Linked DNA regions of Saccharomyces cerevisiae S288C. Changing the gene in region 1 together with any one later gene gives a genetic interaction. Each region holds a gene or a part of one and is shown on either strand. Other genes may lie near its edges.

Region 1 (6,905 bases):
ACTAGAGAAATTGTCAGACAGTACGGTGGACACCACAAGGGAGCTGTATGTGTCGCATTAAACGATGTATAGTTTACAATTTATCAACTACCAAGCTTGAAGGACCGAAGTGACAAAAAACATTATGATTTTCAGTGTTTGCTTATCCGCCTTTTTGTAAATATAGATTTTACTATCCTGTGCATTTTAGTTAATTGATTGTTCACAAAATGAAAGCAATCGCGATGCATATCATCAATGAAAGGAAGACGAGAATGTACAGTATAAACATATTCCCTTGCATGTAGCACTAAATTTTAAGTTTCGTGTAGACGAAAGGTTTAGCTACTTGCGCGACAAAATAGTAATATTTACAGGCATTCTTAAACATTTTATATGTGTACATACTGTGCGTAAGGAAAGAAAATCAAAGCTTGCTCAAAAAAGCCCGCCTACTTCTAGCAATGACTTCAACTTTATTTTTGGTGTAATCAAAACGTCTAGACACAATTGACTTCTTCCCGCTTTTGGTTTCAACCGTACTATCTGTTTCGGGGAAGACCGACTTTAAGTATTTCCTACGCAAATGTACTTCTTCAGATAAAGTCAAAAAATTACAAGCGTCCTTGAAAAGCGCCTTAATATAATTCTTGTCTTTTTTGGTTTCTAAGTGTTGGGATTTTTCTAGGTCCTCTAATAGTTTTGCCTTCAAAGCTTGTTTTTCTTGTTCCGAAATATACTGGTGTAGCTCTAGCTTGTTATTGAAAGATGTAGATGAGTTCAAAAGATCACTACACTCATCAATCTTGGATAGACTCTCCGACAATTTCTCATTCGTCCAGCTTTCTCTCCTTGCCTTCAAACGCTCTTCTTCTTTTAAATAATATCTACTATTGAACCTTGCATCTTCTATGGGGTATCCATTCTTCAGGGAAGCCCTTACACGAATTAAGTATGACGTTGCCAATTCGATGTCTTTTATATCTAACTTAAGTTCATCCCGAAGAACCTTACTCAACTTGTCTTGTAACTCCTTTCTTTTAGATTCCCTGACCTCTAACTGCTTCAAAATATTAGGTTTTGCGAGATAGTCTTTTCTAGAAATAGAATTTTCTTCCTTATATGCTGCCCTTTTATTTGTTAACTCAAAACGGCCAAACCTCCTTACGGTAGGCTCAAAATGAGGAGATGGCAGTTTCAAATCACGCCTCAAGGCAACACCAATGAATTTTCTTTTAGGATGAAAAGGATCAAGATAGTAACGAACAACACCAGGTTCTAAGGCGAATATGGAATGATCTTTCCCTATACCAACGTTTTCTCCAGGATAAAACTTTGTTCCTCTTTGCCTCATAATAATTTCACCTGTGGAAACATCCTGGCCTTCATATTTTTTTGGTCCTAACCTTCTTCCTGCAGAATCCTTCATACTTGTTCTCGAGCCCGCAGCCCTTTTGGTGGCATTACGCACTTGAAGGAACACACCAGACACATGTTTTTGGAATGAAAAACTAGAAGTATCTAGTAAAATAGGATTCCACATATTCTCACCTTAGGTTAAGCTTGAAATATTATGACCACCCAAACTGGCGAGTTTTATTTTTACAATGAGCCAACTTCATTCTTCAGTGAACTATCTTGAATGAGTCTCCAAAGAAAGAGCTTTAAAATTCAATAGCGGAACGTCAGATATCGAAACACCCAGTCATAACAGCCAAATTTGCATAATTGGTATAAAAACAGTGTGTATAACATTACAGAGAAGCCGTTGTGTGAAAATCTTTTTAGTACCTATTCAACCAAACAATTGAACTTGAACACCAAACTCTAGCCATCCTTATCCTCTTCTGGTCACTACATATACCTCAATTTACGTCTTTCCTTGGGTCGTTTCAAATGACTCTCTTTGTTTAGCGAGGGAAATGAAAAAGTAGAGTACTGGCTGAAAAATTTCATAATTATGTTTGCTCATGAGTTCGAAAACAGTTTGAATGAGCAGATAGAACGCCAAATATTAAGTTAACAGGATATGTCTGATCAAGAACGAGGTTCAGAAAACGTATGTTTCATTGATAAGGGAGGTGAAGAAAAGTTTGTAAAATGAGACTTTATGAGGTCATTGGAATTAAATAGACATCAACGAATGGTGAGTCACCATTTAATGCTGCCTTCAAAACGCTTGCTTCAATGTGATTCCACTGGTTAAAGGGGGTTTTTTGAATGCATTGCTAATGTTTATCTACTGGCTATGAAAGTGAGAATATCAATTATAAATAAAACCCTGATTTTCTACCTGCCATGCTATAATGTACAGTTTATTCCAACTTTGAAACGCAATGACTTATTGGTCTCTCTCATTATGAAATTTAGTTACTTTTACTAATGTTATTCATTGTTGTAGAATAATCGAAGTAGATCGAGGTCGAGATCACCTGTTCGTCGTCGGATGAGTGATGATCATGGTTATGAAAGAGACAACCATTTGTCCCGGAGGTCAGGTAATTATAACGGTAGGCGTAAGTTCGCAGATACGTACAGAGGAAGCAGAGATAGAGGAGAATATAGAGGAGGTAGAGAAAGGTCTGATTACAGAGAAAGAGAAAGGTTCAATAACAGAGATAATCCTAGATCTAGAGACCGTTACGATGATAGGCGCAGAGGAAGAGATGTGACTGGTCGTTATGGGAACAGACGTGATGACTATCCTAGAAGCTTTAGGAGTAGACACAATACACGTGATGACAGTAGGAGAGGCGGTTTTGGTAGTAGTGGAGCAAGAGGTGATTACGGTCCTTTGTTGGCACGTGAATTGGATAGTACATACGAAGAAAAGGTCAATAGAAACTATTCCAATAGTATATTCGTGGGTAATTTAACATATGACAGCACCCCCGAAGATCTCACTGAGTTTTTTTCACAGATAGGAAAAGTAGTCCGCGCGGATATAATTACATCAAGAGGGCACCACAGAGGTATGGGTACAGTAGAGTTCACTAATTCGGATGATGTTGACAGGGCCATCCGCCAGTACGATGGGGCCTTCTTCATGGATCGTAAAATCTTCGTCAGGCAAGATAATCCACCACCGTCAAACAATATCAAGGAAAGGAAAGCACTCGATAGAGGAGAGCTTAGACATAACCGAAAAACACATGAAGTTATTGTAAAAAATTTACCTGCTTCCGTTAATTGGCAGGCTTTGAAAGACATATTCAAGGAATGTGGGAATGTCGCACACGCTGATGTGGAATTGGATGGCGATGGAGTATCCACTGGATCTGGTACGGTGTCCTTTTATGATATTAAAGATCTGCATAGAGCGATTGAGAAATACAACGGTTATAGTATAGAGGGTAACGTCTTGGATGTCAAGTCTAAGGAAAGCGTACATAACCACAGTGATGGAGACGATGTTGATATCCCAATGGATGATTCTCCCGTTAACGAAGAAGCTCGAAAATTTACCGAAAACGTTGTCGGTGGAGGTGAAAGAAATAGACTCATATATTGCAGTAATTTGCCATTTTCAACTGCAAAAAGTGATCTTTACGACCTTTTCGAGACAATCGGAAAGGTTAACAATGCTGAATTAAGGTATGATTCCAAAGGGGCACCAACTGGAATAGCTGTCGTTGAATACGATAACGTCGATGATGCAGATGTTTGTATTGAAAGATTGAATAATTATAACTATGGGGGTTGTGATTTGGATATATCGTACGCTAAACGCCTCTAGAACTACTCTCGATCTATATACTTTCTCACCTATTGGATCTGCGACAAGTATTTATTCATTCTTGACTTATTTCCAGGCTTTTTAACTTTATAATGTCATTGTGTATACGTATAATCTGAAAAAATTTCGAAGACTTTGAAGAAGACTGTGAAAAGAGTCTGATTTTTCCAATACAGTGAAAATGGGTTTAACAAATATCCAAAAAAGTACTTTGAACAGATATCGTAAATAGACGACTTTTTTATATGAATAACAAAAAATAAACAACAGACAAGAGGCCTCAGAAGGCTTACGTAAAGTACGTAAACGATCTACCTCTTACAACTGGTAGTTGCTTTTGCTCTATGTTTTCATTACGCTCTCATTTCTCCAGCCGTTGGGAAACTTTTCGATAATAACGAATGAACAGTTTCATACATGCCTAGGAAGATAGCACCACCTGCACTGATCCACATTGTCCGGGGCCCCACTCCACTGAAAAATACAGCAGGACCTTCCTCTCTGTAAATCCTAATAATAACGCTTCCAAGTGAGGCGGTTGTTTTGTTGAGCATTAATCTGGTTTTCAAGAAATCTAATGGTGTCGTTGTAGCTGCTGCGATCCCACCCGCAATAGAACCGCAGATAGCCCCTTTCCATGGCTCCACTTGACTTTGGCCATTGGCTTTTGCCCAAGTCTTTTTTAGATACTCGTATAAAGGAAACTGTATACAAGTAAACGGTATTTCTCTCATAATGGTGGTAGACCACCCTCTATAAAGATTTTTCCTTAAACCTTCCTTATTGTCATTTCGTAGAATTGACTGTAAAGTCTGCCAGGAAGAATTGGTAGAGTGAACTTGCGTCCTTTGCTTAACGACTTCTGCGGGAACTCGAACAAGACAAGCACAAATTTCACCAATGGAAGAGGAAAGCATGTGCGTTGTCGTATCAATCAATTGCTCAGATCCCTGTGAGTAAAGTTTGCTGATATATGGCCTTGATTTTACTTTCATATAATCATAACTAATAAAGAAAAGTGAAGCACCTGGCGCCGATGCTACAACAGCGCTTCCCAAACCACGATATATGCCTTTGTATCCTCCATTAGCAAAGAATCCACCCTTAGCTTGAAGCCTGGTTTTAATTGTGTCTATAGGGAAAAAAACCAAATCCGTAGAGGTACCAGCAGCGGCGCCACTTAGCAAGGAAAGAAAAAAAGTATTCATAGCAAACTTTTCAAAGCGAATTTTAGTTCATCGGTGTGTCTAAACATATAAAATCGCCAAACAATTTACAACAAGTGGAGCTTTAATGATCTCATATATTCTCGAGGGTGCACCCCACTGCAAATGTATTTATATACAAAACAGCGCTCAGTAAGCGAGGAAAAAAAGAGGCGCCCGTGCTTTTGCCGATACATAAACTAAAAACCAATAAACTTGCCAAAATACGTATATTCTTCAATCCATGAGGCACCACTAATTATATGCAAAAGCTCAATATCTGCTCCTTCAATGGCATTAGATAACTAACAACCTATGTACTATACAATTTTAAAATACTCTCTTAATTAATTCAACTTGGCTAATAAAGAGTCAATGTCAACTTCGATAACTGGTGCTGTAGCTGCATTTGAAAATTGACGAGTTCTTGATTCAGCCTCCCGCTGTTTTATTTTCCTTAGCCTATTCAAAGAACCAAATCCAGATACTTCTCTATTCAACTTGAATGGTTGTAAGAAGAAGTTACAAACAGAAAAAGACTCACCCATAGTGGCAATCTCATGAATAATATCTTCAACACAAATTATTCCATGATCTCCTAATTGCTCCTCGACAATATTGTTGTCATTAAGAACTATTTCGTGAGGTTCAGCCTCATTCTCACCCTTATAGATTATTCTACCTCTCTTTTGAATCAAGGAACGGATAGAAGATAAAGAAGGCTTGCCAATCACTACGTATGGCGCAATAACCTTGAGCAACGGATATACGTTTTTGGTCAATTTGACGAAAACACCAGTATTAGTTTCAACTAATCTTAGCAAAGACAAAATCTTAAATGCTTTGTTTGGAATATTTACAGCAAGCGGACCTCTTACTCTGACAATGAAAAGTAAAGCAGGTTTGCCATCGTAAGTAGTCTTTTCTCTGATTAAACCATCGTCTTCTTCTTCTTCAGTCTCCTCCAAGTCGACAGAGTTCTCTTCGGCGCCATTAGCTTTTTCTGTTATTTTCAGAATAAAATCTTTCCCAGATGCAATATGCTGCGTTTCATTCTTTGCCTTCTTATCTTCTAATATAGACACTCTTTTAATTCTTTCCTTTTCCCTAGAGGTAGCCAAAGTCTTTGCAACTATACTTTCAGCTCTGACAAATTTGTTCTTATTACTTCTCTTTTTTTTGATTTGTTCTTCCCTCTTTTTCTTAGCTAATTCTTGTCTTTCGATTCTAGTTCTATCAGCATTTCTTCTTTTCCTCAAAAGAATTTCTGGATTAGAATTAAGAGTTTGCGCTTTACTGTCTTGAGTTGAAGACATTGTGACTTGTATATCTTATTCTTTTTCCCTGTGGCAGCCTCTTCTTTCTAGGAACTTAATAACGAAAGTACCAAACAACTTAGACTTTTCTCATCTCATCGCTTCCCAGCTTTTTTTAAGCAGAGCTGAAAAAAATTTTCTTTTTACCAAAAATCCGTACTGCGTGATGAAAGTGTACATACATTATTCAATATTCACCTAGTTTTGTATATTAATGTAAAATGTAATTTAATGAAGATCCCAAAAAATTAAGCATTCGTTGCTGCATCGTTGTCATTTTGTTCAATTATCGCATTCCTATCATAGCAAAAATATGAAGGTTATTAGTCTGAAAAAGGATTCTTTTAACAAAGGAGGAGCAGTGATTACTCTTTTACCGGAGGACAAGGAAGATCTGTTTACTGTTTATCAAATAGTAGACAAAGATGACGAGTTGATATTCAAGAAAAAATTCACCTCTAAACTTGATGAAGCTGGTAAGAAAAAAAGTACAGATTTGGTCAAGTTGAAGATTAAAGTAATATCCGAGGATTTTGATATGAAGGATGAATATTTGAAATATAAAGGTGTTACTGTTACAGATGAAAGTGGAGCTAGTAATGTTGACATACCTGTCGGCAAATATTTGAGCTTTACCCTTGACTACGTGTATCCCTTTACTATCATAAA
Region 2 (8,643 bases), on another chromosome or scaffold:
GGATAAGTGAAATGAAAAAATTGTTGTATTACGGGCTCGAGTAATACCGGGGTGTCTTGACAATCTTATTATTATTAACAGTCTTAGGGAAGTAACGAGCTGTCAAAACGGATTATCAGCTTAATTCACGGGATGTTACTTATCTTATATATTGTATAGAATATGAATCATACTAAATGGTGAAAGCGCGGAATCTTGGATCTAAACTAATTGTTCAGGCATTTATACGTTTGGTTAGTTCAGCTAGGGGAGGCCGGGTTTTATCTCATGTTGTTCGTTTTGTTATAAGGTTGTTTCATATGTGTTTTACGGACGTTTAGGATGACGTATTGTCATATTGACGTATCGCATTTTGAGATACAACAATATCACATCTAATATTCCGTGATAGTTTAATGGTCAGAATGGGCGCTTGTCGCGTGCCAGATCGGGGTTCAATTCCCCGTCGCGGAGATTTTTTTAGCATTTATTCAATGAATAATGTGCTACTTGTTCAAAATTGTGATGGCTGCATAATATTACTATTTTGTTTTATATATCCCAATGATATCAGTAAAACTCCCCTTGTTTTTTTATTATGCTTTCCATGTATTAAAAATGACTATATATTTGATATTTATATGCTATAAAGAAATTGTACTCCAGATTTCTTAATATGTTGGTTTACAGACATTTATTAAGACTGTAGAATACTTCGTGACAGTTTCTGTTATGACTGTCTTATGAGTAGGCCGATATTTAGTTTCATGTACAAACGTTTGGTTAAACGTAGAATGCTCTGCTACACTTGGATCGCTGGTAGTTTGAGATTTCGAATGTTCGAACTCTTTGTCTATTGAATTCGAAGTGGGAAGCGAGACACTGCCCGAATTTGCCATAGTCGAGGATAATTCTAATTTAGTTTCATTTGAGGTTTGTGTGACAGCGCCTGTACTTTGATGCATAGCACTATTTTGAGTAGGCTTACTTAAGACAGTAGTTGATCTAGTGCCTGGCATCTTCGTAGAGCAGTTGCGACTTTGTACGTTGGTTTCTGCAATAAGCGAAGAGGCTGTCGATGATTGAAGAAAAGGCCTACTCTTGCAGCCTGTAGATGAATAAATGTCAGAGGTGACTGTAAATGGTTCATTGGTGGACCAGGGTTCAGCTGTAGCAATTTTGGCACCTGAAATAGACCCATCTGTTTGAATATTTACTAGCTTTTTCGAAACTTCGCTTGCGTTCCAATTTGCCTGTGCTAAAGATATCTTATAATTATCGAGATCGAATACGACGTATGCAGAGGACAGGAACACATCACCCAGAACCATCGAATCGTTTGTTGGCTGGACCGCAAACCCACAATAGCTGCCTTCTGTCTCGGGACTTAAAATCAAACTAGACAGTGGAACACTTATTTGCAAATCGCCGAAATCAAAATTGTATTCCACGTCACCTACAGATACTGGACAGTCTAATATATATATACCTTCCTCTTCACTATAGGACGCATTTACAAAAGAAGCCATTTTATCTGCTATGACCTTGGGCGCATTCAATAGCGAGGTTCCTGAGTCCAACAAAACTGGATACTTGGTCGTCGTAAACGTTTCATGTTCACAACTACTTTTGTTTTGGGCACCTAATCCTTGTATAGTCATTGCTAAAGTTGCAGGAGCGTCGACTATTGTGGGATATTCATTTACCATAGGGAAAGTGAACAAATCACCAGAAAACTTTGATTCATCAATGGCACCAAAAACAATCGAACCAGTACCTGAATCAGGTGAGTTTAAGAACAGCGAATACGCGACCACATCGATTATTTTTTCACTTTTTAAAATCTGAGGAAAATTAGGATAATATTCATTAGGAGCACCTTCATAGCCCTTAACGGACTCTCTTCTAGGAAACCCAATTCCAAGAACACCACTAACGGGTGTCGTAGCATACTTGGCAACTCCGAACTGGATATTGGGGATGTCAATTCCATTAATTGATACAGTTTCCGTCCCCCAACTACCGTCAGCAAATGTTCCGTCAGCATATGTGATGTAAAACCTACCATTTTCCAGATATTGGTAGGTGGAAGATCTATGCTCATTATAAGTACTCATAGACCTGCAATCAATTGAAGGCTTAACTTCTTCGCCATTATAAGTTGCGTTTGAATAGGATGACGTATTTGAATTTGGTAAGCAGAAGGGATTGCTAGAATCCATAACCCAAAAATCGGCAGATCCGGTATCAAACAACACTGTCAGACTTTGGGACGGTGTACCTATATCTAAGGTTGTTGCGTAATACATCTCCTCTTCGTGTTGTAAAAGGAATTCTAAGTGACCAGTGCCATCGTTTGTTAAAGCAGTAATGGTGTTAATAATCGCGAAACTCGCCAAAATAAGTTTCAAACAAAGATGATTAATTGCAGACATTATATGACCCTTCTAGACACTCTTTTTATTTTGGTATGATTTTAGGCGATACGAACCACTAGAATTAAATCACGCGAAGATCATTAAAGAATTCATCATGACAAGGCTCGACGTGCTTTCTCTTCACTTTTATACTGTTATCAAAAAACACACACATTCAATAACTATAATGTGGTGTGTTTCAGAATAGCTGGCTGTGTATACATGTTATTGTCGCTATTATGTGACACTCGCCATGTAATTTCCTTTTACGGTAATTACATGCCATGTTTCAGCATGATGTCGGAGGTAGAAAAACAGGGACAACGCATCTCTAATATAATAAATGCAACAAATGTGTACCGTACCGGAATGAGTGCAGCCTATGAATTCGGCAAGAGCCGTTATCTATAAACTAAAAATACAAACTTATTTAAGAGAGTCCAAACTTTTTAACATAGCCTGAATTTCCTTTATGACGCCTTTCCTTTTTTCCTTCAACGGCCTTCTTAAGGACTCATCCACGTTAATCAAATCGATACTGTCTAACTCAATCAGCAACTTCAAAAGCATTTCGTTGCAATAGTTACGCTCGTAGATGTCCTTTTCATCTTCCACATCAAATCTGTTTATTAGATCCTTGCTACGACCTTCCAACTCGTTGCCGTATCTCAACGACACATTGTCAATTTGTTCTTCTAGAGTCAGAGGAACCGGCGCTTTTTCAAACTGATTCTTACCTTTCTTGTTCTTTTTAGAAGCCCTCTTTTTACTGCTTTTTCCCTTGCTGCCATTGGGTCTTCTGATTGTAACCAAAAATACAACAGCAATCACGGCCAAGAGGACGTACGTCGAGGTACTTGTTTTGCTCAGCTTGCTCTTCCAATGTTCCATTGCGTTGTGCGACATTACGGAAACGTACAATTGCCCTTCTGGTGCTATTTTTTCACCAACAAACAGGATTGAAACCAGCACTACAGAGCTGATTCCATCTTTTTTTCTACTGGTTATGTCAGTTCGCGATATTTTTTTTCAATATCGACCAAATGATAGTAAAGGCAAATTGAATTAGATGAGCACAAGTCTTCCATTTAAAAACCCCTCTAGCTATGGCTCTCCTTCAAGTCCATATGCGCTCTTGAAAAAGCATGCTTGCCGATTGAATTGCAGGTAGCATAAATGGTTTTGCTTGTGTATGAAGCTTTTGACCTTATATTCGTCATCCGTTATAAGTGATTAGACTGAAGGGGCGCGAACTAAACTAATTAGATTATAATACGTTTTATAGGGATATCACTACAAACTGCGGCCTAAGAGGATGATCTTCATGGCGGAAACTTGCAGTTTTCCTGTATCATTGCCCTCGTGTTAGATTGGTGATATATTACAGTTACACTATGACGGTGGCTTATTCCCTAGAGAATCTCAAAAAGATTAGTAATTCCCTGGTGGGAGACCAGTTGGCTAAGGTAGATTACTTTTTGGCTCCAAAGTGCCAGATTTTTCAATGTTTGTTGTCCATTGAGCAAAGTGACGGTGTAGAGTTAAAAAATGCGAAATTAGATCTGCTATATACCCTTTTACATCTAGAACCGCAACAAAGGGATATAGTAGGCACATATTACTTTGATATTGTGTCCGCAATCTATAAGTCCATGAGTTTGGCAAGCAGTTTTACTAAAAATAATTCTTCGACAAACTATAAGTACATAAAGCTTCTAAATTTGTGTGCAGGAGTTTATCCAAATTGCGGATTCCCAGACTTGCAATACCTCCAGAACGGGTTCATCCAGTTAGTCAACCATAAATTTTTGAGGAGCAAATGTAAAATTGATGAGGTGGTCACGATTATTGAATTATTGAAGTTGTTTTTACTTGTGGACGAGAAAAATTGCAGCGACTTCAACAAGAGCAAGTTTATGGAGGAAGAGAGAGAAGTGACAGAAACTTCACACTACCAAGATTTTAAAATGGCAGAATCCCTTGAACACATAATAGTTAAAATATCATCGAAGTACTTGGACCAAATAAGCCTCAAGTATATAGTGAGGCTAAAAGTATCCAGGCCAGCGTCACCATCCAGCGTCAAGAACGATCCGTTTGACAATAAAGGGGTCGACTGCACCCGTGCCATACCTAAAAAAATCAATATCTCAAACATGTATGATTCTAGTTTACTCTCATTGGCACTCCTTCTATATCTAAGATATCATTATATGATACCGGGTGATAGGAAACTGCGGAATGATGCGACGTTCAAGATGTTCGTTCTGGGTCTTTTGAAGAGTAATGACGTTAACATTAGGTGCGTGGCCCTGAAGTTTTTGTTACAACCGTACTTTACAGAGGATAAGAAATGGGAAGATACGCGTACACTCGAGAAAATACTACCCTATTTAGTTAAGTCATTTAATTATGACCCGTTGCCTTGGTGGTTTGATCCATTCGATATGCTGGATTCATTGATTGTGTTGTATAATGAAATTACTCCAATGAATAATCCTGTGCTCACCACGCTAGCTCATACAAACGTTATATTTTGCATTCTATCCCGTTTTGCGCAGTGTCTTTCTCTACCACAACACAATGAAGCTACTTTGAAAACAACTACAAAATTCATTAAAATATGTGCGTCATTTGCAGCATCGGACGAAAAATACCGTCTTTTACTGTTGAATGACACATTGTTGTTGAATCATTTAGAATACGGGTTGGAATCCCACATTACTTTGATACAGGATTTTATATCTTTGAAAGATGAGATAAAGGAAACAACTACGGAAAGTCATTCTATGTGTTTACCCCCAATATATGATCACGATTTCGTGGCAGCTTGGTTACTATTGTTGAAATCATTCTCGAGAAGTGTTTCAGCGCTTAGGACGACGTTGAAGAGAAATAAAATTGCACAGCTGCTTTTACAGATACTAAGTAAAACATATACGTTGACCAAGGAATGCTATTTTGCTGGACAAGATTTTATGAAACCGGAAATTATGATTATGGGCATTACTCTGGGTAGTATTTGTAACTTCGTGGTGGAGTTCTCTAATTTACAGTCATTTATGCTGAGAAACGGTATAATCGATATAATTGAAAAGATGTTAACAGATCCATTGTTTAACTCAAAAAAAGCCTGGGACGATAATGAAGATGAAAGAAGGATTGCATTGCAAGGCATACCTGTGCATGAAGTGAAGGCAAACTCTTTATGGGTACTAAGGCATCTAATGTACAATTGCCAGAATGAAGAGAAGTTTCAGCTTTTGGCCAAAATCCCGATGAATTTAATTTTGGATTTTATTAATGATCCATGTTGGGCAGTACAAGCCCAATGTTTTCAGTTGCTCAGAAATTTGACTTGTAATTCAAGGAAAATTGTAAATATTCTTTTGGAAAAATTTAAAGATGTAGAATACAAGATCGATCCTCAAACAGGTAATAAAATTAGCATCGGCTCAACGTATCTTTTCGAATTTCTTGCAAAGAAGATGAGGCTTTTAAATCCATTAGACACTCAACAAAAGAAAGCAATGGAAGGCATCCTATATATTATCGTGAATCTAGCGGCAGTCAATGAGAATAAAAAGCAGCTAGTCATCGAACAAGACGAAATATTGAACATTATGAGTGAAATATTGGTAGAAACAACGACTGATAGTTCAAGTAATGGTAATGACAGCAATCTGAAATTGGCATGCCTCTGGGTACTCAATAACTTACTTTGGAATTCATCAGTTTCACATTATACCCAATATGCAATTGAAAATGGTCTGGAACCAGGGCATTCACCAAGTGATTCAGAAAACCCTCAATCTACGGTGACAATCGGGTATAATGAATCAGTGGCTGGTGGATATTCTAGGGGGAAATACTACGATGAGCCAGATGGCGATGATAGCAGTAGCAATGCGAATGATGATGAAGATGACGATAATGATGAGGGTGATGATGAAGGCGATGAGTTCGTTCGCACCCCGGCTGCAAAAGGTAGTACATCAAATGTACAAGTAACACGTGCCACGGTGGAAAGATGTAGAAAACTCGTGGAGGTAGGATTATACGATCTGGTTAGAAAAAATATTACAGACGAATCATTATCTGTCAGGGAAAAGGCCAGAACGTTACTATATCACATGGACCTGCTTTTGAAAGTTAAATGAATGCACAGAACTCGTAGTATTTCCTACAATTAATTTATGCTATAGTTTTTTAAATAGTATTTTCGCAGAAGAATCCATAACTGCAAGCTTACGTTTAACTAAAATTTCTGTGATAGGAAGTAGCTGGCTGAATTTATTCTCATGTCAAAGAAAAAAAAGTATGCATAGAAATATCACTTTATAAGGAACGTTTCGGATTAAATTATATAATATTTAAGAAAATTGATAAAATAATATGACAGAAGGAAGAAACCAAAATTAAAAAGATTAATCTTGGGTCTTTTGAGAACCACGTAGTAAACCGGTTCTTCTGGCAGCAATCAAACCAGCCTTTTGACCAGAAACGGCACCTCTAGAGATAGTAGAAGCCTTACCAATATGTTGATGGTTACCACCACCGTGAGGGTGATCAACTGGATTCATGGCAACACCACGGGTCTTTGGCCAAGAGTTTCTCTTCAATCTGTACTTGTGGAAAGCACGACCAGCCTTCAACAATGGTTTGTCAACTCTACCACCACCGGCAATGACACCGATGACACCTCTGGCGTCAGAAGAGATAACCTTCTTGGCACCGGATGGTAATCTGACTCTGGTTTTGTTTTCATCTGGGTTGTGACCAATGATGATAACGTAGTTACCAGAAGCTCTGGCTAGGGCACCTCTGTCACCTGGCTTTTCTTCAACGTTGGAGACAATGGTACCTTCTGGGACAGAACCCAATGGCAAGACGTTACCGACGTTCAAAGAAGCCTTTTTACCAGCGTAAATGAATTGACCAGTGTGAACACCTTCGTTAGCAATGAAGATTTCTTCACGTAATCTGTACTTGTATGGGTCACGGAAAACAACCTTGGCCAATGGAGCACCTCTACCGGAGTCGTGGACAATTTGCTTAACGATACCACGGATGTAACCATGACGTTCAGCATAGTCCAAAGTTCTCAACTTGGCAGCACCTTGTCTTAATCTGGTGTGAGAGGTGAAGATAGAACCAGCACCCTTTCTTTGGTTACGAATAACTCTACCTGTTTAAATGAGGAAAAAAATTCTCGATCCTGTTAGTAAATATTTCTCGAAAGTTTTTTCATTATCAAAATATGGCAAAGTAAAAGGCCGCATTCAAAGCGACAGAACCCTGTTGTCATGATACAAAATAGTAGGAAAGGCTTATTCTCATACTTTGATAGCCAACGTCATTCATAAGTGTAATATGTCAATTTCAATAAGTCCCGATATAGCATTTAAAAGACCCTGATAGTAATCGTTTCGAAGACGAACATCAAAAAAGCTTTCTTGTCCGCTGCTATGTTGCCTTGTAATATGCAGAAGGATACTGAAAATAAAATGTACCGATTCAAAACATCTAAGTCATAGAGGAATCCTTCATAACATTTGCCATAATTATGCGATATAATAAAAACATACCCATTGTTCAATAACTTTGTGGTTTCTTGGTGAGTTTATGACAAATAGTAGATTTATCAATAGTAACTCAATCTTTTAAAATATGTATATCTACTTTTGTCAAGTATGAAAGATTATTGAAACCTGTAGCATGCACAGCATAGTTTCCAGAGCAGAATCCACCAGGAGTGTTCCCGCCTGGAGGGAAATCTCCACCCATCCAGCAGAGCGTTCAGGCTGGGAACTGCTTAGTATCCAACATTACTCGTAGGCGGTAGACTGGGACGACCTCTCTGTCCAGCCTCTCCTTTGAGAATTCCTTCTTTTTCTCCCTAGCGGGTTGGCGATTTCGAATAAAATTTTCGTGCAAAAAAATTGATTGCAATTGCTTGGGTTTTTGTATAGTGTACTGTCTGGGTTTGTAAAATAATGTATGGGTTCTAGTCTGAAAACTTGGTAATCGGTATAATGTATATGTATAACTTTGACTGTCAGATTGAATTAAATGTAGAAAAGATATTTGTATTTCCTCCTAAGGAGAAGAGAAATAAAATGATAAAAGCTTCTCTTTACGTTCTCATTTGTGGTCTATTTAGTGCATAAAAATTTAGACAGTTTCTTAGGCGAGTTGTTTGTGAGTTCATGGAATCACAATTGATCTAGCGACGGGATTTCTTTTT
Region 3 (4,150 bases), on another chromosome or scaffold:
ATCGCTGCACGTTCTGTTGCAGATGCCATCCGTACTTCATTGGGTCCCAAGGGTATGGACAAGATGATTAAGACATCTCGTGGAGAAATCATCATCTCTAATGATGGCCACACCATTCTAAAACAGATGGCCATTCTGCATCCGGTGGCCAGAATGCTAGTAGAGGTTTCTGCCGCGCAGGACTCGGAAGCCGGTGATGGTACCACTTCTGTGGTGATCTTGACCGGAGCTCTATTGGGTGCTGCTGAGAGGCTGTTAAACAAGGGCATCCATCCAACCATCATTGCGGACTCCTTTCAAAGTGCTGCGAAGAGATCTGTCGATATTCTTTTAGAAATGTGCCATAAGGTTTCGTTGAGCGATAGAGAACAGCTGGTTCGTGCTGCATCCACTTCTTTGAGTTCCAAGATTGTGTCTCAATACTCTTCGTTTTTGGCGCCCTTGGCAGTGGACTCCGTATTGAAGATATCTGATGAAAACTCTAAGAATGTTGACCTGAACGATATCAGACTGGTCAAAAAAGTTGGTGGTACCATTGATGACACAGAAATGATAGATGGTGTGGTCTTGACACAAACGGCAATCAAATCTGCTGGTGGTCCGACAAGAAAGGAAAAAGCAAAGATTGGGTTAATTCAATTCCAAATATCTCCTCCAAAGCCCGACACAGAAAATAATATCATCGTTAATGACTATAGACAAATGGATAAGATCCTTAAAGAAGAAAGAGCGTATTTGCTAAATATCTGTAAAAAAATTAAAAAGGCCAAGTGTAACGTGCTGTTGATTCAGAAATCCATCTTGAGAGATGCGGTAAATGATTTGGCTCTTCATTTCTTGTCAAAATTGAACATAATGGTGGTAAAGGATATCGAGAGAGAAGAAATCGAGTTTCTGTCGAAGGGCTTGGGTTGTAAGCCAATTGCTGATATAGAATTGTTCACCGAAGATAGATTGGGTTCCGCTGATTTAGTTGAGGAGATCGATAGCGATGGTTCCAAGATAGTTAGAGTAACTGGTATAAGAAACAATAATGCAAGACCAACCGTCTCTGTTGTTATTCGTGGTGCAAACAACATGATCATTGATGAAACAGAGCGTTCCCTCCATGATGCACTATGTGTTATTCGTTGTCTAGTGAAAGAGAGAGGTTTAATCGCTGGTGGTGGTGCTCCAGAAATTGAAATATCCCGTAGGTTGAGTAAGGAAGCAAGGTCTATGGAAGGTGTACAGGCTTTTATTTGGCAAGAATTTGCCTCTGCTTTGGAAGTTATTCCAACGACTTTGGCTGAAAACGCAGGTTTGAATAGTATCAAAGTTGTCACAGAATTGCGCTCTAAGCATGAAAATGGTGAATTGAATGACGGTATCTCTGTTAGACGATCTGGTACTACGAACACCTATGAAGAACACATCTTACAACCCGTACTTGTTAGTACAAGTGCAATTACCTTAGCGTCTGAATGTGTTAAATCCATCTTACGTATTGATGATATTGCATTCAGCCGTTAACATGGGTTTCCCAGTATCCATATGTTTATGCATATATACATATATATGTTGATTTAGTGTATTTTCCACTACATAAAAACTAAAAAACATTCAAAATGAAAAGTCAGGACCCTTTTCAAAAAGGATCGCAATTATACTATTTTAAAAGTTTAAAAGCGTTTCTCTTTAATGCGTAGGATACTCCGCTCATTATTGTGGTCGTGGCGGTTACATACCCTAAATAGCTAAAGGCCTTTTGAAAGTCCTGTTTTCTATCTTCGAAATCCTCCTCGGTTTTTTCACAGCCCTCTTCTTTCTCATATAAAAGTAATAATACTCCAGATCCAAGATATACCATTTGGAAAAACGTGTTCCATTTTGATAGTTGGGAAGGTCTGACCTCAGCGCTGGGATAGCGAACAATATCCCAATAGGAATTCCATGCCACACGACCAGGATATTTCAACTTTAAAGTGCTATATCGTATAAACAAAGCACTTATGGCTAGTAGCACATCTCTACCCAGAATTATCGCCGCAATAGATACCGGTATAATCTGAGGGCCGGATGGTACAGATAATGCCAAAGTTGTTGTGATCATGAGTAGTTTATCTGCAAGTGGATCTAATATGGTTCCTGCAATGGTTTTCAGGCCGTATTTTCTTGCTATATACCCATCCATAAAATCAGTGATGCTGGAAAATGCAAACAAACCTAATGCTGGGGTCAAATTATTCGTTATAATGAAGAGTCCGATAAAGGGTGTACATCCTATTCGTGATAAAGTCAAAATGTTGGGAATATTGAGCAACTTGCTCTTTATATGAGGAGTTTTACTCGGATTGGTAGCATATTCCCTCCTAGTGAGATCTCTGAAAAGATTGTAATTTAATTGCGGGTTTACCTTAAAGCGTACAGTTAACCCTGATAACACATGATAGAATGGCCTTTTCGGTATAGTTCTCCGAAGTAATGCGGAGCATGAATAAATGGGCACCATTTGAATCATTGACTAAATTATTAGGGACCAAACTATGCTACCAGGCCTGCTTGTTTCTCAATTGCCTCCTTTCTATATTTTTTCAATTGTAAATATTGTATACTCCCGATTAAGAGGATGGCTTCATGAATCGAGCTTTTTCACACTCCAGTTTCGGAAATAGTCGCCGCACAATGATTCGAAGACATGACTGTGAAGTGTTGGTTGACATTTAATATGGTTTCATGTAAGAGATCCCAGAGCTACGGACTTGGCTTTTTCTTCCTGTAATTGTTTGCCAAACGTTGGGTAAACGCACATATAAGTATATTTTACTTTCCTTCTCCCTTCGTCAGTTTTTCTTTTGCTGTAATATATTGTTCTCAAAAGTTGTTTGGTATACAAAAGTGCAAGGTTTTTACTGGTTGTTACAGGTTCAGAGTTCCAATAAAGAAGATATTAGAACGATCTTATCAATATTATCCAATTTCAACTAATATGAATGTATTAGTCTATAATGGCCCAGGGACTACGCCAGGATCAGTTAAGCATGCTGTTGAAAGTTTACGTGACTTTTTGGAACCCTATTACGCCGTCAGTACTGTCAATGTTAAGGTATTACAGACAGAACCATGGATGTCAAAGACCTCCGCTGTAGTTTTTCCTGGTGGTGCCGATCTTCCTTACGTTCAAGCTTGTCAACCCATTATTTCTCGATTGAAACATTTTGTTAGCAAACAAGGTGGTGTCTTTATCGGATTTTGTGCAGGAGGTTACTTTGGCACCAGCCGTGTAGAATTTGCTCAAGGTGACCCTACAATGGAAGTATCAGGAAGCAGGGATTTGCGATTCTTTCCGGGAACAAGCAGAGGACCTGCGTACAATGGATTTCAGTATAACAGCGAGGCCGGTGCACGTGCAGTTAAATTGAATCTTCCAGATGGCTCACAGTTCTCAACTTATTTCAATGGAGGAGCCGTTTTTGTTGATGCAGATAAATTTGATAATGTCGAGATCTTGGCCACGTACGCAGAACACCCGGATGTGCCTTCTTCTGACTCAGGAAAAGGTCAAAGTGAAAACCCAGCTGCTGTAGTGCTATGTACGGTCGGAAGAGGAAAGGTTTTACTCACTGGACCACACCCTGAATTCAACGTCCGTTTTATGAGGAAATCCACAGATAAGCATTTTCTTGAAACCGTTGTGGAAAACCTGAAAGCACAGGAAATCATGAGGTTGAAATTTATGAGAACGGTTCTTACCAAAACTGGGTTGAATTGTAATAATGACTTCAATTATGTAAGAGCTCCAAATTTGACACCACTGTTTATGGCTAGTGCACCTAATAAGCGGAATTACTTGCAAGAAATGGAAAACAACTTAGCTCATCATGGAATGCATGCAAATAATGTTGAACTCTGCTCAGAATTAAACGCCGAAACTGACTCTTTCCAATTTTATAGAGGCTATAGAGCCTCTTACGATGCAGCAAGTTCGTCCTTGCTTCATAAAGAGCCAGATGAGGTTCCTAAGACCGTAATATTTCCTGGCGTAGATGAAGATATTCCACCATTTCAATATACGCCCAATTTTGACATGAAAGAATACTTCAAGTATCTGAATGTTCAAAACACCATAGGTTCTTTACTTCTATATGGTGAAGTTGTTACATCAACGAGT
Region 4 (10,979 bases), on another chromosome or scaffold:
ACAAACATCTGGTGAAATCGTTCAAGTTTTATACTGAATAGAAAACAAAAGATAAGGTTCTGCGCATCGCAAATAATAAATTACTAGCGCGCCATACAAGAGACGAGTCTATTTTTTTCCGCCAGACGACACAAAAAAGAACCCGTGCAAATATTATATCCCACCTCCCACGTGTCAGCGAAGCTCGGAACTGCGTAACATTATAGGGCAGAACATCCAAATGGAAAAAGTAATAACACTATTTGCGATGTTAGTGGCCATCCTGCGTCGTTCGGATAGGTTAGGACGGGCTGATGAATATACGGGTGTAATAAAAATGACACCACGTTATCAGGGTTTTCATGACAGTGCAAACTAATATATGTCATATTATTTTAAGTGGGCTCATTTATTTACATGTTTATTTTTTATTGTAATTTGCGTATGTATCATTACACGCTAATGCACATTTGCACGTTCTAATAATGAAGGTCGTCCGTCATAAGCAATTAGGAAATGAGAAATCTTGATTTTATCGCTAAAAAACGCTTTCTCTTGTGGCAGGAGCAGATCTCTTACATATGTAGTTATTTAGTCGCTTCTAAGAGCCAGATCAGGTGCGTGGATTCATATAATATCCCTTTTTCAATAACAACGTTATAAGGAAACGTTGGGTAAAAGAATATTAATTACTGAGTGGAACTTTTTCTCATTGTTCTGTGTATATACAATGTTGTATCTCAAAATGAGATATGTCAGTATGACAATACGTCATCCTAAACGTTCATAAAACACATATGAAACAACCTTATAACAAAACGAACAACATGAGATAAAACACGGCCTTCCCTAGCTGAACTACCCAAACGTATAAATGCTTGAACAATCAGTTTAGATCCGAGATTCCGCGCTTCCACCACTTAGTATGATTCATATTTTATATAATACATAAGATAAGTAACATTCCGTGAATTAATCTGATAAACCGTTTTGACAACTGGTTACTTCCCTAAGACTGTTTATATCAGGATTGTCAAGACACTCCGGTATTACTCGAGCCCGTAATACAACATACAAAAGTAACTCTTATTTACAAAAAAATCTCTTACTTTGTAGCATCTAGATCATCATTCGTGGGTTCTGAGCAGTAGGAAGAATATTTCTGGTAGAAATGATAAATTTCAAAGCACAGTTCGAAAGCAATCAGGTATATAATTATCCATTCCAAAAAAGTGCTGTTTCTCTCGTTTAAAAGAGAGATGAGGGCTCGACACTCGTCCGTAGAATAGTCCAGCTTGCTGTTCAGAATATTTATTCTTGGGCCTATGTCCAAATACCTCGAAACATTTTTAAAAATCTCTTCCAATTGAGGTTCACTCCAATAAAGATCAGGGGTCTCAATTAGTTCTGAATAGAGGTTCAACTTTCCTCTAATTAGAAAAAGGCGGCCTATTGACTTTAATGCATCACTTGACCTTAGATTTAACTTTGTTCCCTTAGAAATATTTTCTGTTATTGTTCTGGTCTTTGATATATGTTTTTCCATTGCTTCTTCTAGGACTGCCAAGTTGGTGCTTCTCGATAGCCCACTTGAGAATGCCGCCTTATCTAGCATTCCTTGATCAGAATCCAAGGAGTTAATTATTATCAAATCTCCAGAAAGAAAGCTTTCGCATGCAATTCTCGGTGTTACCTTATTATCCAAACTGGAAAGCTTATCAAAATCTTGTTCCCCTTCTATTTCCACATAATCCATGTCCTCAGTCTCAAAGTCTTCTCCGTTCAGTGGATTTAAACTCGCTGCTTTAACTATAGGCACTATGCAGTTTCGAACACTAGATTCACTGAAGCCCCAGCTTACAATAGATCCATTTTGACCTAAAATCATTACGTCACCTTTATTGCCATTATCCTGATAACTAAATGACACGATTTCATCAGGTATCAAATTTGTCGGTTGTAATCCTTGCATAGTAAGCAATTTCATGCATCTTTTGAGATCATAACCCTCTCCGGTGGTAATGGTGATACAACTCTTCACTTTTAAGTGATCTTTACTTAAAGAATCCTCCAGAATATCACGTCCATTCTCCTGCTTTCTGTGGTTTGGCACAAAACTTCGTCTCAAATAGCGAGTAGAATTCTTCGGGTTTTTAAGCATCTTCATTGTCTTGATATTCGTATCCACTGACTTGTGTTCCCTATTGGTCTTCTTCTCTGTAGCTAGTTTACCTTTCCAACGGCCATCTTGCACTTCTAAATTCTGTATTGATAAACTAGTTCCTAACCGTCTAATTTGGAATCGTGATACGAAACCGAATGTGCTAGTCAAACTTCTGAATGAAAGCATTCTTCACGCCATATTATGATCATTTATTAAATGTCTCCCGTAGGAGCTAGAGGAGCCTCACACAACATACGCACACATTTATATTCACCGAAAAATTAAATACAAAATGGAAAGTAGAGAAAGGAGAGAAGAAGTAGACCATCTCATTAAACCTACATTTGTCTTTAGTATCAGGAATATGTATAAGAAAGGTGACCTACCCCCTTTACAACGGTGAATTAGATGAATCAGCTAGCCTAAATATAGTATCTAAGACATTGTATATACTTTACCTTTAACTGATGCGTTATAGCGCCGCACAGATCTTTAAAGGCCTACCTCTGTAAATCGATAACAGATGATTTTCCGGTTTTGTGGCAGTATAATATTGCCCACCTATTCCCTTTATGAGCCTCTTTGGAGAGGTTATTATAAATGCTCGTGGCAAAGCTTCTAGGAGTCGAGTTATTACCTGACCCAAAAACTTTTCTCAGCCATTCTTCCTTCTGAGCCAAAGAAGTAATTGAGATTATTTCTAAAGTTTCATCTCTTAAGGCATCAACAGTGATAATTGGTGCATTGGATAAATTGTGTAATATCATATTCGAAGAATTTCTGGCTGCATCCTCATAAACCCACTTTTCCCTTTTATTAGCTTTCTTAGATCTTGTAGCCATGTTTGGAACATAAATTACCTTTTGATTATTAGTCGAACCAGCAACAACATCATCTATGTCACCTTCTTGACTACTACCGGCACTGCTGTTTTCATCCCATCTTTTAAATTCATCAGCCTTATCGCCCAAAGTGAGACTATCGTTGATCAAAGATTTATTACCAGTTTCTTGTTGGTACAAGGTTAAAAACTCATCAAGATCTAAATCTATGTCAACATTAGTGCTCAATTTTTTTATTTTTAATGGCTTGTACTTTCTCTTGTGATTGGTTAGTGGATACGCTTGTTGCTTAATCAGCAAAATCCAGTCTATACCATCCTGTTGAGCGCCAGTAACGACATCATCCACCGAGGAACAATCCCTTAACATATCCGCTTTAATGTTTTGCTTCCACAATGTATTCAGTATTGTAACCCCGATTGTGTCCAACAAAGAGTTCGAAAAACTCGATATCAATACATCACACCTGCTTGGCTTCCAATCAACAGCTGTATCTTTCAAAAACCTATTTCTCTTCTTTATCCTATTTCCAGAAGCGAGTTTGAAATAGTTTTGGGCTATACCGAATATTGTTTCCCACGCTAAGTTGAAACCTACAGCCTTACGAGTATTGCTGCTCTTTTTTCCTGATGGTCTGGCAAAAAAGGATATCAAAGTGTCATACCTCCCTCCAGCAGCTATCATATTACGTGAGGATCCATCGTCATAAACTGCATGAAACATGATACCTCCTTTGTAAAAAGCGCTATTGTAGTTACTCAAAGGAGATATCACAACATTTCTTGCAACTTCTAAGGGTTTTAGGTAACTGAGAACCTTTGATATATGGGACAAAGAGTCCTCAATTTTTTTTAGATGCGGACTATCAATCATCAATTTATACAGGCGTTTTTTGGCTGCTTCGAAGTCCAGTCTAAAATCAAATAACTCCAAATCATTCAATGCCGTAGAAGATATGTTCAGTTGCGCCTTTAGTTCATTCTTTACTTCCTTGAAGGACCTTGCAAAGCCTACTTGCGACAACATTCGTGAAACTAGAGGCCTTTGGGCTTTATCAATATTTGTAAAGTTGAAAACACTCTCCAAAATATCAGCATGATTTAATATGAAAAAAGTGTTTGTTTTCTCAAATACAGGAAATACGGTTAATATTTCATCGATAATTTTCAAGCTTTCTGCATCATAAAATCCTGACTCTGAGGAAGATTTTGAAATTATGTCGAAGTCAATCTCACCAAACTTTCTAGGTTCCAAACTTGACCTTGAATGATCAGGAGGTCGGTAAACGTGCTGCATCCTATATTGCTTAGAAATCAGACTTGGATTTTTAGATAGATACCTAGCCATAGGATAAGTTAAATCATATTGTAACTGCAAGACGGTACCGCCCTTGTCAAGCACTTCATATACATTCTGCGTACCGTATATGGGGGCCTTTGGAAAAATCCTCGGAGGAGCATTATTTTCAATTCCTCCATGTTTCCTGAAAATTTTAACTACCTCTTCTGTCATTTGGGACCTGAGAATGTTTGCGAAAGGAGTGGATGTTGGAACTGAGTTATCAAATAGAATATCATTTGTTAGACTGTAAGATTGGTTAAATAAACTTTCTCGAACTTGCTGTTGCCAAGGGGATGAAGGATTCGACAAACTTTTTAAAGCCTCTTTGATTACTTCATCCTGATGCTTCACAGGAAGCCAACCACTATTTAATAATGTCCTAGCACCAGGCCTTTTATTGGGATCATGGTCTATGAGTAACCTTATAATTTTCTTTTCAACTTTCATCTTATTATCGTCGAAATCAGGAGGAAATTCTATCGACACTGATCGTAACTTTTTCAAAATATTAACTCTCTCCATACCTGTACTGAAAGGATAGATCATTTCAAAAAAAATGATTCCAAGTGAATACATATCAATCTTTTCATTATAGTGACCTGTACCATCTAAAACTTCAGTAGCAACATACATTGCTGTACCAATGGCGGATGTTAAATTATCTGAGCTGCCTGGCAAATTCTGTGAATCTAGCTTAAGTATATCCAGAGATCTATGGACGTTCTTAGCTAACCCAAAATCACCGATTTTAACATTTCTCGATTCATCTATAAAAATATTCATTGGCTTCAGATCCCTATGAATGATACCCTGGGAATGTATATAACTCAGTGCTTCCAAAATTTGTCGAAATAACCTCCAATATTCATCACGTTGTTGATTTAAATTTTCAGAATGGATCAAATCATATAGCGTTCTATTTTCACAGTACTCCATTTGAATAAAAAGCGTACTTTTCTTCTTAACAGCAGTCATCGGTTTTACAAAATTCCTCCTTCTTGGAACGTTCTGGATACTCTTTGATTCTTTATCAGTATCATCTTGACTTTCGCTCGAGGAAGTCGAGGAAGTATCATGGTCTAGATCTTCATTTTCATCATCACGAGAACTATTTTCAAAGACAATATCCGGATATCCTGACCCCGATATGAAATCCCAGTTACTATTATCCAAATCGTGATTTGTTCTATTTTTAAAAATACTGCTTTGATCTAATAAATCATTTTCCTCAAAATCAGAGGAAGATTCGCTCAAGTCACTTTCTTCATCAGTTGATTCAAAAACGTTTTCATCCATACTGTCTTCTTCTAACCATGCAGCATAGTAACGCACAACATATTGATGATTTAAGCTTGCTAACAGCATTACTTCACTCAATATAGTAGATAACTTTTCTTCTGTATGTCTAATCTTCTTGATCGCATAGTATCTGCTATCGAGAGCATTACGTGCCTTGACAACTTGTCCAAATGCGCCCTGGCCTAAAACTGCAATCTCTTCAAAGTCAGAAGCATATCGTGATCGCGTTGCAGGATTTATAGAAGAGAATCTGGAACCAACATTAAATGATCTTCTTCGTATACTCGATTGTGAAAGTGTTCTACCTCCATTGCCCCGAACGGTTATGGTATCTCCAGGAGTTAACTCCAAGGAATTAGAATTGACACTTTCGGAAACTAAGTTAAATCGATTGATTGTAGAGTCAATATTGGTCCTTAAGAATTTCATGGGCAGTAGTTCTAATGTTCCTAATCTTTTCTTCGGATCGTTATTAAGCATTTTCGAAAGAAGATCATATAAAGTTTCATCCATACTTGTTGAATCTAGGAATTCTTGAGGCGTTTCAAAATTCATCACTATATCAGATCCACTGATTATCTGGATAAACAAAACACCAAGTTGCCAAATATCAGTTAATCTTTGAGGTTTGGCGTTATTGAATTTCAACAACTCAGGGGCTATCCATGTACTTGGAGATAACTCAACCGAAGAACCATTTTTATTTGGATATCTCGATAGCATATTCAAAACAGTGTAGCCATAAGTGGAGTGAACTAACTTGGGAATAGTGCTTCCAAAATCTGCATCCTTCACCAGGATCACGGTTTCTAAGTTGATACATTTATGAACAATTCCCAATTTGTGTATGGCCTCCAATCCTTCAAGCAATCTAATCATCCAAATACGCGCTGTTGCTAAGTTAACAAATCCAACAGATTGTATCAAATCTCCCAATGGATAGTAGTTACAGTACTCTGTCAAGAGTCTTATTTTCCAAACAAACGTTGCATTATTTCTCCCCATGCGCTCCACCGTATAACCGAACAATCGATTCACATTGTCATGCTTAGCTTTCAACACCGTCTCTAACTCTTTCTCTAAATTTGCTATTTCTTTTTTTCCATTACTTGTGTTGAAATAGCTATTATCCAATTCAATTTCAGATAGCAAATAGTAGAAATTTTCCATCATTTCAGAAGACATTAAAAAATCTGCCAACGGAGATTCTGGTGGTATATAAGGCTTCACAAGAAATTGTTTGGAAAAACTAAATATATCTGATGTCAGTTTTATTGGCTTAGGATTTACAACTGCTTTAAACTTGAACATTGAGTTATTAGGCAATTTTGCCTTTATAGTTTTTGAAAAGACAATAGCTTCACCTGATGCAACCCATTCTGAAGGTGGTTGTAAATCTAACTGGGTTGTTCTGTTGAATAGCAAATCATCATCATCATCTTGTCTTTTCTCCAACTCTCTTTGAACAATTTCATCTATCCTTCGCTGCTCATCTGATCTTTTTTTTATTGTTTCCTGTTGTTTTTCTCTTTCTTCCTTTTCTAATTGTTCTTTAGTTTCTTTGATTCTTTGTAATCGATCATCTTCCAAGGACTGTGTATTTACCACATTTTGAAATTCGTCCAGTTTTTCTTGAGTAAAAGATGTAATTTCAAATATAATCTCTTGGCCTCGGGAGGTGTTGTGGATTTTCTTAAATTCACTTTTCAGCATTTGCAATTGACTATCCATTACATTTTGTACATTTTTGAATTCTATTTCTGGAGCGGTATAAGGATACATTGGGGTCATCGCAAAATGTAATGTTATAGAAGATTCAACCGGCTCTTTGTCAACAGATCGAAGCGTAATTTCGAATATAATCTGTGGCTGCTTATCCCAGCTAGACTTTCTTTTAGTTAAGTCAGTAAAGTCATCCATATAAATGGAACGTATCGCTTCAAGTTCGTTGCACTGTATTTCATAATATTGATCTAAAGTGAGATGACTCAATGACATTTATACATAGTATGTGTTAAGGGGAACGGAAAATTATTGAAAAAAAAAATCAATGCTTATAAAATCTTAAAAGACAACGAGGCTTTCCAACAATGTAAAGATTGAAAATTTAGTGTATTTAATGTCCTTTTGTAATGAAAATAACTTCTTGTAAGAAAGAAGATAGAGATAAATGTAAAAGTAAATTTGCTTAAAAAGATTCTAGGCTGTTTATAGATTGATTACACCAGGTTCTTATCTCAAAAATCAGCTACTCAACTGCTTCCTAAGAAACTACCTACATCACTATAGTCCAACTTAAAACAAATAATAAACTTCTAAGGCTTTCGTGTAAAGTGATGTTGGGATTGTCCGATGAAATAACAAGCAGGCCCTTGCACGTCAAGATTAATTTGAATAAAGAAGTAACATGTCATCTTTATGTAATCGCTGTTATTCCATACAGAACAATAAATACGTATATTTCGTATGTCATGTGGAGTATATATTCTTTTTTATTCTTACATACCTTCATCGGACAAAGGATGTAATTCCTCATCCGGGATCCTCTGATGGGTGACTGCTTCCTCCAGGGTGACATCTGAATCGTCCATCAATGGTTTGAACGGAAGAGGATCATCAATGGGTGGGAAGATTCTTCTGTAGAAAAAGTGTGCCATTATATAACCCAACATAGACCCTAAAATTACATCGACGAAATGATGTCTGTAATCTTGAGTTCTGGATAGAGCAATTAGTGCAGCTCCTAACAGTGGTAGAAAGGCCACCATTTTTCTCCATAAAGGCATCAACGGTGATTCAGTCAAAAGTTGCCCACATAGCCAGAAGTACAAATAACCCAGTCCTGCAAAGCTTTCACTTGAATGACCTGACGGAGTTGTCCTAAACCCATCCAACAGACGTTCGTGATTCTTAGTCGTACACACATCTTTTGCAGTAAATAAAGTGTCCAATGGCAAGCCTTCAACAGGTTGGCAACGATCTAGAAAATCTGGTCTTAGTCTTCCAATCCAATTCTTGATGAAGTTTGTAAAGAAACTCGTACTGAACCAAGCGAGTGATAAACCAAGGAGAGATGTGTACAAAATAAAAATCAAATGTCTTCTATCGGCCAAAATGGAACCAATTATCAATATGGTTAAAGATGGCACGACAAAACTATAAACAAACAACATGTTGTTATTTACACGTTCAGTTGTCGCATAAGGATGCGATATAGTGAGATCGTTAATGTAAAACTGACGTTCGAACGGTTGTTGGTAATACACTGGGTAGTTAAGAAGTATCATGATAATGAGCAAAAAGACATCTTCTAATCTCCATTTCGCCCCTATGTTGAAAGGCGTTTTAATAAACGAAACTCTGTTCATTTTGGTCGTTTGCTATGATTTAATTCTGATTCTTTGCCTTTAACAATTGATAACGTGCCCTTTATTGAACTGCTAACTACTCGAAAAATTGGACACAATTCAGTTTATAGCAGGTGTCCTTTAAGTGATGTTTGCTGATTTCCGAACTGCGCGTATGTTAGTGGACCCTAGATAACAGTTTATTCCCTAACGTTTCTAGATAATATATGACAAAAATATACAACCGATCGACAAATTATTTCTAAAATACAAAAAAGTTAGTCGTGAGGTTATCCAACGTTGGGTTTCTATCTATATATAAAAGCTAATCACCAAACAATTGAGAATCAACGCCGATAACATGATGTACAATTATAGCAGTATACGCCAGGCGTGCTGCATTTATTCTTTACCCTGTCATCGTTGACGAATACTTTTTTTTAAAGGGATCGCACTCTAACCACCTGAAAGGTACTATCTGAAAAAGTGTTGACTAAAAACAGAAGCGCCTTAATAATAGTGCACTACTGGAAAACTATATTTAATGTAAAAAAGAAACTACATTGAATGAAATCGAAAAGTATAATTTCTCTCCGTACCTGTGACTGATACAATGTAACGATGTAGACTAAGAATAAGATTCTCACTTAAAAGCTGCTATTTCAACTGATTATCTGCAGAGTATGCGATCACAAGACAGATCACAACTGTGTTTATCGGACATAATGCTATATTTTTGCTGCGCCAGAAATCGAGTACTAGTTTTTAAATATTTGTTCTAAACGGTCAAACTTTTCGTAAAAAATGCTATAAGCCGTGTTGTCCCTTTATGAAGAGCTGCTTCTTCACTTGTAAATAGCGAACAAATAAAGAAAACAATCTGCTACCTCTTTGTTAAAGTTGACCGCCTTGAAGAGAACTGCAAGTCTCTGAAAGTTTTAGCTGAATATTGTCACCTCTTTTAGGATTAACAGTAAGCATATTTTTTTCTTTGAGATTCGGAAGTAAAATACCCTCGGCGGCTAAATTTTTAGAGAATGTCAAACTTTTTTAGAGATAGTTCAATGGGATTCAAGCCTCGACCAAACATCTTCGCTAAGCTGAGAGTCAGAGATGTAGATTCAGATTCTTCCGCTAATACTGTTGTCGAGAATTCATCCAACTGTTTAGACGTGGGTTCTTCTATAGAGGGAGATGATACCTTCAAAAAACCCCACAAAACTTCTACCGAACAAGAACTGATTACAAGTATGAGCCTTAGTCAGAGAAACCATGGTTATTCTGATGATATGGAAATAGGTTCACCAAAAAAAACAACATCAACAGACCAATACAACAGAATTTTAAAAAATGATGTTGCCGCAATTGAAAATGATACTGATGAAGATTTTGAAATTACAGAAGTAAGAGAAGTGAGTGAAGGAGTAGCAAAAGAAACGAAAGAAAGTCATGGGGATCCTAACGATTCTGAGACAACTCTCAAGGATAGTAAAATGCATGAATATACTATGACAAATGGAAAGGCTCCTTTGCACACGTCCATCAATAATTCTAGTACATCTTCAAATGATGTCCTGTTAGAAGCCTTCACAAACACTCAAAGAATATGTTCAAATTTAAAGCAAGAGCTACAAAAGCAGCAACAGGATAATGCAAAGTTGAAAGTTCGACTACAGTCGTATGCTTCCAATTCTGATAAGATCAATGAAAAAGTCGGAAAATATAAATCTTGTTTAGAAACTCTTCAAGAAAGGATTGCAACGTTGACGAGCCATAAGAATAATCAAGAAACTAAATTGAAAGATTTAAGACAAAACCACCAACTATATCAGAGAAGGATAAGCGGATTTAAGACAAGTATTGAAAACTTGAACAAAACAATAAATGATTTAGGGAAGAACAAAAAGGAGGCGGATGCAGAATTAATGAAAAAAGGTAAAGAGATTGAATACCTGAAAAGAGAACTAGATGATTGTTCAGGTCAGTTGAGCGAAGAAAAAATCAAAA

Evidence for each region.
Region 2: mutations in PET8 (region 1) and VID28 together harm fitness more than expected from each alone (negative genetic interaction), as found in Saccharomyces cerevisiae (2 studies listed by BioGRID).
Region 3: mutations in PET8 (region 1) and CRD1 together harm fitness more than expected from each alone (negative genetic interaction), as found in Saccharomyces cerevisiae (4 studies listed by BioGRID).
Region 4: mutations in PET8 (region 1) and GCN2 together harm fitness more than expected from each alone (negative genetic interaction), as found in Saccharomyces cerevisiae (3 studies listed by BioGRID).

Annotation. Positions count from the first base shown.
Region 1 is NC_001146.8:620,907-627,811, forward strand, and holds PET8 (Pet8p), read right to left. Parts: upstream 4,924-6,905; coding exon 4,069-4,923; downstream 1-4,068. Other genes in the region: TOR complex subunit LST8, read left to right, coding at 1-72; mitochondrial 54S ribosomal protein bL27m MRP7, read right to left, coding at 407-1,522; HRB1 (mRNA-binding protein), read left to right, coding at 2,009-2,038, 2,381-3,715; RLP7 (Rlp7p), read right to left, coding at 5,268-6,236; ribosome dissociation factor DOM34, read left to right, coding at 6,550-6,905.
Region 2 is NC_001141.2:316,113-324,755, reverse strand, and holds VID28 (glucose-induced degradation complex subunit VID28), read left to right. Parts: upstream 1-3,790; coding exon 3,791-6,556; downstream 6,557-8,643. Other genes in the region: aspartyl protease BAR1, read right to left, coding at 651-2,414; SNL1 (Snl1p), read right to left, coding at 2,823-3,302; 60S ribosomal protein uL2 RPL2B, read right to left, coding at 6,824-7,584, 7,985-7,988; FAF1 (Faf1p), read right to left, coding at 8,623-8,643. UniProt on the Saccharomyces cerevisiae protein: Component of the GID E3 ligase complex recruiting N termini and catalyzing ubiquitination of proteins targeted for degradation.
Region 3 is NC_001136.10:200,071-204,220, forward strand, and holds CRD1 (cardiolipin synthase), read right to left. Parts: upstream 2,501-4,150; coding exon 1,649-2,500; downstream 1-1,648. Other genes in the region: chaperonin-containing T-complex subunit CCT4, read left to right, coding at 1-1,512; biotin--[acetyl-CoA-carboxylase] ligase BPL1, read left to right, coding at 2,969-4,150. UniProt on the Saccharomyces cerevisiae protein: Catalyzes the synthesis of cardiolipin (CL) (diphosphatidylglycerol) by specifically transferring a phosphatidyl group from CDP-diacylglycerol to phosphatidylglycerol (PG).
Region 4 is NC_001136.10:1,022,427-1,033,405, forward strand, and holds GCN2 (serine/threonine-protein kinase GCN2), read right to left. Parts: upstream 7,624-10,979; coding exon 2,644-7,623; downstream 1-2,643. Other genes in the region: MRX10 (Mrx10p), read right to left, coding at 1,085-2,329; DPP1 (bifunctional diacylglycerol diphosphate phosphatase/phosphatidate phosphatase), read right to left, coding at 8,124-8,993; ZIP1 (Zip1p), read left to right, coding at 10,010-10,979. UniProt on the Saccharomyces cerevisiae protein: Metabolic-stress sensing protein kinase that phosphorylates the alpha subunit of eukaryotic translation initiation factor 2 (eIF-2-alpha/SUI2) on 'Ser-52' in response to low amino acid, carbon, or purine availability.